Arabidopsis thaliana: one gene and its partner. The protein of the gene in region 1 interacts with the protein of each later gene in a pairwise test. Each region holds a gene or a part of one and is shown in the gene's direction. Other genes may lie near its edges.

Region 1 (3,321 bases):
ATTGGGGAGATGAAAAGCCTACAAGTCTTGGACATGTCTTCTAATGGTCTATATGGGCAGCTACCTATTATGTTTTTAAGTGGTTGCTACTCGCTAAGGGTTCTGAAGCTCTCCAACAATCAATTACAGGGGAAAATATTTTCGAAGCATGCAAATCTTACTGGTTTAGTTGGGCTTTTTCTTGATGGCAACAATTTTACTGGGAGTCTTGAAGAGGGTTTATTGAAGTCAAAGAATCTTACTCTTTTAGACATATCAGATAATAGGTTTTCGGGCATGCTTCCACTTTGGATTGGTAGGATATCAAGGCTTTCCTACCTATACATGAGTGGTAATCAGCTAAAAGGTCCTTTCCCTTTTCTACGACAGAGTCCTTGGGTTGAGGTTATGGACATCTCACACAATAGCTTCTCTGGTTCGATACCAAGGAATGTGAATTTTCCATCTCTCAGAGAACTAAGACTACAAAACAATGAGTTTACGGGTTTAGTTCCGGGAAATTTATTCAAGGCTGCGGGATTAGAAGTGCTTGATTTGCGGAACAACAATTTTTCTGGAAAGATACTGAACACTATTGACCAGACATCTAAGTTACGTATTCTTCTTCTACGGAATAACAGCTTTCAAACTTATATCCCTGGGAAAATATGTCAGCTAAGTGAAGTTGGTCTGTTAGACTTGTCTCACAATCAATTCAGAGGCCCCATACCATCATGTTTCAGTAAAATGTCTTTTGGTGCAGAGCAGAATGACCGTACCATGTCACTTGTTGCAGATTTTGACTTCTCATACATTACATTCTTGCCACATTGTCAATATGGATCACATCTTAACTTGGATGATGGTGTCAGGAATGGTTATCAACCAAAACCAGCAACCGTAGTGGATTTTTTAACGAAAAGCAGATATGAGGCGTATCAAGGTGATATTCTCCGCTATATGCATGGTCTGGATTTGTCGAGCAACGAACTATCGGGTGAAATTCCAATCGAGATTGGAGATCTTCAGAATATCAGGTCCCTGAATTTGTCAAGTAACCGCCTCACAGGCTCCATACCAGATAGCATTTCAAAGCTGAAGGGCTTAGAGAGTCTTGATCTATCCAACAATAAGCTAGATGGAAGTATCCCTCCTGCGCTAGCCGATCTCAACAGTTTAGGATACTTGAATATCTCATATAACAATTTATCAGGTGAAATCCCTTTCAAAGGCCATCTTGTTACCTTTGACGAGAGGAGTTACATAGGCAACGCTCATCTCTGTGGACTTCCTACAAATAAAAATTGCATCTCCCAGAGAGTCCCTGAGCCACCAAGTGTGTCAACGCATGCCAAAGAGGAAGAAAATGAAGAAGAAGGTAATGTGATAGACATGGTGTGGTTTTACTGGACTTGTGCTGCAGTCTACATATCTACATCCTTGGCATTGTTTGCTTTCCTCTACATAGACTCACGATGGTCCCGAGAATGGTTTTATCGTGTAGATCTATGCGTTCATCATATTCTACAGTTCAAGCGTTCCTCAGTCTGCAACTGATTCTGTGGATTAGCCAAGGTATACACCACTGGAATAACACAGTCTTAAAATGCTTTCTTAGTTGATCCAAGTTAGATGAGAAAAAGCTTTTGTATACAAAATATATGTCTTCGATGTCAAATATATACATGATACCAGTTTCAATTTCTAAACATTATCTCATAATATTTGGGCCTCAGGAGCCCATTATAGCCCATAAAACGCATAACGGCTGAATAGAGTCGTACTGTACTTGAAATTGAAAGGCATCTACTAGTAGACTCTAGAGTTTTCTGGATTCTGTTTTCCAATCTTTTCATCGTTTTCGTGTGAAGTTTAAAGAAGTTTGGGACCCGTAAATTCTAGAAGCTCTGGAGATTTCTTGTTCACCACTATAAATACATCATCCGAGTCACCAGCTTTGCTCAGAAGTAGAAATCGAACTCGCCGGAAAATCGTAATTAGCTATCTCAGCATTCCAAACATCTCTTTCGCTTTCGAAATCAAATCGAGAATGTCGCTTATTCCAAGCTTCTTCGGCAACAACAGGCGAAGCAACAGCATCTTCGACCCGTTCTCACTCGACGTTTGGGATCCATTCAAGGAACTGCAATTCCCGTCGTCGCTCTCCGGAGAAACATCGGCGATAACGAACGCACGTGTGGACTGGAAAGAGACGGCGGAGGCGCACGTGTTCAAGGCCGATCTGCCGGGGATGAAGAAAGAGGAGGTTAAAGTGGAGATAGAGGACGACAGTGTGCTCAAGATCAGTGGAGAGAGACACGTGGAGAAAGAGGAGAAGCAGGACACGTGGCATCGTGTGGAGAGGTCGAGCGGGCAATTCTCGAGGAAGTTTAAGCTGCCGGAGAATGTGAAGATGGATCAAGTCAAGGCTTCCATGGAGAACGGAGTTCTGACTGTGACGGTGCCTAAAGTGGAAGAGGCTAAGAAGAAGGCTCAAGTTAAGTCTATTGATATCTCTGGCTAAAGCCAATTAGCTTATGGGTTTCATGTTTATGCGTAAAGACTCTTCTGATTATGGCTCTTGATTTGAATATGGCTCTGTGTTTTGGTAATGATGTATTATAACTGTTAATCCTAATAATTAAGCAAGGCCTTTATATTCTCGTTTCAATTGCTTTTTCTGAAGATTTTAGCCGTAAATTCGATTTTAACTCGGATGGGACCAACTAAACTTAAGTTTAAAGGTTGAATTTTTAATTTAGATATGCAATTTGCATAATCTGATCTTAGTTTTGGTATGACTGATTTGTAACAAAGTCTTATAACAAAAAGTTGAAATTTAATGAAATTATTTCTTCCGTGGTAAACAAAAAAAAAAGAATCTCAAAATTCGAAACTAAATAAAAGGGAGTTTCCGTTTTCACCTCTTGGGCACAAAACCCGCAACGTATAAGGAAAGGAAACAGAGAAATACAGAAACAAAATATATAAAAAAAACATTTGTTCCATTCTCGATCCTTCCGGCTTGCTCAAAAGGTAAAATTCGATTTTCTAGGGTTTCGATTTGCTGCTTTTTGATCTCATTGACGATGATTAGTTGTAGTTTCTTCGATCGATGTTGACGTGAATGTGTATATGCGTAGGTTGATCAGACGCTAGGATTTGAGAAGCAATGGCGAATAGAATAGATCATGAGTACGATTACTTGTTCAAGATCGTCCTGATCGGCGATTCCGGTGTTGGTAAATCCAACATTCTCTCTCGATTCACCAGAAACGAGTTCTGTCTCGAATCCAAATCCACCATTGGCGTCGAATTCGCCACCCGGACTTTACAGGTCAT
Region 2 (4,373 bases), 8.8 Mb from region 1:
ATATTAATTTATTTTATATATTAATAAATTAATATTTATCAATTTATAGAAATATTTAAGCAAAATATAACACTATATTCTTTCAGAATAGAATAAATGTCAAGAGCTTACTCGACTATTCGGGTAAAAATGAATCATAGTAAAAAATTTAGAGTTTTTAAAAGAAATTGCTATTTATGTCTATAATGTTGGTGAAGAAGTTGAAGACGATAATGAGAAACTTTTGGAAATAGTGACACGTAAGAAACCAATTTTCGCATCTAGAACTCTTCACAAATTTTGGATGCATATTGAGAAGATATCACCCGGAGTTTTTGATGCAATAAAAAGAAAATTACAGATGAAATTCAACAAGATTCAAACTTTAAGAAAAGACAACAAACAACACTGGACTCATATTATAGTAGATTATCTTAAAAATTTTGATTATTAATTTATGTTATTATTGGGACCATATTTTTACATAGAGATTTCAAAAAAATTATTATCTTATCGATTTTGTTTAATTTTTACATTGGCCCGACTTGGGACCAACATAATTTATTAATTTATTGTGTTTATTAATTTATCAAGTATTAATTTATAAAGTTTCTACTGTAGATGACAAAGTATATACATGAATATTAGGTAGCCAAAGAATACAACTTTCTATAAAAAGGAAATAATAAATATACACAATTATTCTCAAAAAAGGAAAAATATATAGAAATTTAAAAAGACATGAATGTTTAAATAGACAAAATTGTTGGTAAGGGACATAATTATTGAAGATAATAGAAACACTAATAAAACATAGTGAAAAATATACAACTCTAAGTGAACATATATAACTTCAATTAATTCTCAAAAATATCTTTAATGACTGTAAAATACAATTTTGAGTATAACAAAAAATAAAATAAAGTAAAGTCGCGTAAAAAGACACAACTTTTCACAACTATAAATTAAAAATTAAGTTATTAATTTATGAAAAGTTACACTGAAAAATGTGACAATGGATAATTATCCATAGCTTTGATTTGTCGGAGATGACTAGTAGAGTTCCTTTGTTAAATTAGAAATGGTTTGCTTACATATTACTAACTGATTACTGTTTTTGTTAGTGTTTCGATTTTGATGGTTTAATCAGTAGCTATTGAACATGTGGAGCCGCCGAATGAAAGACTCAACGCCAAACGTGCGATTGTCACAGTAAATTTGGGAAAATAATCTCTTTATGAGCTTTCATTTGAAAAATACCCTATCCTTTTTTCTTTTCTAAAAATTAAATTTTTAATATATAAATTATTAAACTAGGCTCACTAAAATTTAGCAATAATTAAAATTATTTTGAACTTAAAATAAAAAGAAACCCATAATTTAAAAGTTGATGCAACTAAAAATTTTAAAGATAATTTTTCTCTTAAATATTTTTAACTAAAATTCGTCAAAACAAATAAATAAATAAACTTTATTAAGTGATAGACTAAAAACTATTTTAGATATCATTTTGTTAAATTTTAATATAAATATAATAAACTATTTTTATCTCAAAAATATTTGAAAAATAAACAACATAATATATTTATTTTATTTTATTTTTTCTAAATTTCGTTTTTTTTTTAATTTATCAAGAAAACAGCTTTTGTTTTAAATCTGGACAAAACTGTTATTTTATATATTAAATTTTTTAATATTTTTTAAAAATAAAGAAAGTGTATTTTTCAAATAATAACTAAAAAACAAGGTAGTTTTCAAAATCTCCCTAACTTTTAAGGGCTTGGCCATGGGTAGGAATAGTGAACATGTTGAACGCAAAGCTATAGTTAGAAGAGTCATCAATGAGCATGAAGGATACTTGTCTCTCAAGGGTGACATTTGGAGTTGAGAAAAAGCTTTGAATTCGGAATTGAGAAGATCCAGTGAGAATGTGGACCTAATAATAACCAACTAATTGACTAAAAAAATATTTTGTGAATTTGAAGTTGGACACCGTTAAGTAGATTTGTATCTTGGATTATATATACGTGTGTGTGCATTGACATTCTTCTTGGTGGTTTTAGACGTTTTAGTTTTCCATTTCGGTATTTCCCATTAATAAAGAGTTAAAACGACGACGTATGTTGATAATCTCTAAATGACGTCGTTTGATTGAAAATGTCGTAAGAAAAATCGATCGAAACGGTTAGCGAATCGAAGCAGAGAGAGCTTCAATGGCTGTCACTTCTTCCTCTATGCTGCTGCTTCGGTGAAACTCTCTCTCGATACAGAAATAAGGAATTGGTTGTTGAATTTGCTAATGCCGTTGAGGTTTTTCGTTTTTTAGGAACTTCTCTACGGTGGGAAGAGTTGCTCAATCTGTTCGTGTGACTTCGAGGATCTTCTTCTCCACCGGAGAATTGATTAGGGTTCTTCCTTATACTCGTTCTAAAAGGTTATAGTTTCTCTATTATATTGTCTTTGTTATGGAGATTATTGTAATTGACCTGATTTGGTTTAGTCGCTCTGTAGATTGATCTGTTCTACTCGTGCTGCTCATAATGAAGAAGCCGCCGCGAAAGCTGCGGCTTCTGTTGCTGACACCGGAGCTCCGACCATGTATGGTTTCTCTTAATTTTGATTTCAAAGCAATCCATGTTTGTGTTTTTGCTACAAATGATCCTAATCTTTCAAATATGTGACCTAGTTAATTCTTCGTTATTGATTTGGATGTGATTCGTGGAAGTTTATGCTAGACGCTCTTGTGTATGTGTATCTTGTGGTTTTAGATTTGACAAGATTATAGCAAAAGAGATTCCCTCAGATATTGTCTATGAAGATGAAAACGTTTTGGCATTCAGAGACATTAACCCTCAGGCTCCTGTTCATGTTTTGGTCATTCCCAAGTTGAGAGATGGCTTGACCTCGCTTGGCAAGGTGAGTCAGTTTTATGTTTTAACATTCAATCTGTTTCTTCTCGTGACTTCCTTTGGTCTTGCTCTTAGAGGTCTCAAAGAATCTCATCATTGTGTTCTGTAACTAGTAACGCGTTTCATCATGGTATTGTGCCACTGTTTCTGGTCAATATATGTAAATGCTGCCACCCACACTAAAAAAGGAGTTAAAAGTATTATTTTGGTGGAACAGATTAAGATTTTACCTGAAACATATCTTCCTCTGAACCGCCGTCGCAGGCTGAACCAAGACACGTAGAGGTTCTTGGCCAACTTCTACATGCATCGAAGATTGTTGCTGAGAAAGAAGGAATCCTTGATGGGTTCCGTGTGGTTATCAACAACGGTGTTGAAGCCTGTAAGTCTTTTCTTTTCTTTTCCATCCAATTAAGCATCATCGTCCTCATACACATGACTGAATTAACTTCCTCTCATTCAGGCCAATCTGTTTACCATCTTCATCTGCACGTCCTCGGAGGCCGACAGATGAAATGGCCACCCGGTTAAGAAGAAAGATTCATGTCAACCCAAAGCCAACGTGCTCCAAAATTGTCAACTACAATCCTTTCTTATATGGTTTATGAGTTTTTACCACTATCGGATTTTATCCAGTTGTGAATTCCTAGAGATTAGATAGCTTCCATTTCCAATTGTTATCGAATTCTTTTTCTTTTTTCATTGTTAGAAATAAATACTAACAATTTATATGATATGAGTAGTTTCTCTCCTACAATTATCGTATATGGATCTGTACATATTAATGAGAGTTAGGAGAACACAACAGAACACAGGTTTGGTTAATTTCTGCTAAAGAAAACCTTTTAATATAAACCAGAAAGCTATCATAGCATGGTCAACATGTTCATTAGAAAGTCAGCAAAGAAAATAACCGGTAATAAATTAACCGTCTGGTAAGCTGAACCAAACCGGGTCGATCTGCTTAAGTTGTTATTAGATAGGGAGAAGTTGTTGTCCTAGTCTTGGGGCTGGTTGTGGCGGCGGGAGGAGCTGAAGAACGCCGGTGGGTTCTCCTTCTTCACTTGCCGGTGCATGATGTCATCATCTTCGTGCCTTTGACACACCATGAGATTCTCCTTAAGCTTGTCTGTTTGTTGTTGCTGCTGCTCCTGCTGCATGAACTCAAAACTACATAATTAATAAACAAGAGACATGAACCACTAAAACTGTGAAATTTGGGATATGTGTGTGCTTATAAAAAACTATTTTATACCAAAGTACATGCTGTATATGAATATCTAATATATATGTCGCTTAAATAATTATATCCTAGAGTGTGTATATTATATACCTTATGAGCTCGAGCAATATGGAGAGAAGATTCGAGTTGATGCTCAAAATGAAGAAGCTCGTCGTAGGTTAAATTATTCAGACCATGTCCTCCATACAATTGAAGCTTCAGTTCAAGGTTCTCTATCTCTCTCATCATTGATTCTTTCATCT

What was found.
Region 2: the proteins of AT1G07400 (region 1) and HINT 2 interact in a two-hybrid assay, tested with the Arabidopsis thaliana proteins (one large-scale study listed by BioGRID).

What each region holds. Positions count from the first base shown.
Region 1 is NC_003070.9:2,273,119-2,276,439, forward strand, and holds AT1G07400 (HSP20-like chaperones superfamily protein), read left to right. Parts: upstream 1-1,807; 5' UTR 1,808-2,029; coding exon 2,030-2,503; 3' UTR 2,504-2,665; downstream 2,666-3,321. Other genes in the region: RLP1 (receptor like protein 1), read left to right, coding at 1-1,536; RABA2b (RAB GTPase homolog A2B), read left to right, coding at 3,152-3,316. UniProt on the Arabidopsis thaliana protein: Cytosolic mediator for sorting and targeting of nascent chloroplast outer envelope membrane (OEM) proteins to the chloroplast. Functions as an AKR2A cofactor to facilitate the targeting of OEP7 to chloroplasts.
Region 2 is NC_003070.9:11,121,926-11,126,298, reverse strand, and holds HINT 2 (HISTIDINE TRIAD NUCLEOTIDE-BINDING 2), read left to right. Parts: upstream 1-2,078; 5' UTR 2,079-2,192; coding exon 2,193-2,227; intron 2,228-2,305; coding exon 2,306-2,413; intron 2,414-2,490; coding exon 2,491-2,577; intron 2,578-2,747; coding exon 2,748-2,895; intron 2,896-3,105; coding exon of another isoform or gene 3,106-3,152; coding exon 3,153-3,270; intron 3,271-3,351; coding exon 3,352-3,419; 3' UTR 3,420-3,695; downstream 3,696-4,373. Other genes in the region: AT1G31150 (K-box region protein (DUF1985)), read right to left, coding at 3,887-4,042, 4,222-4,373.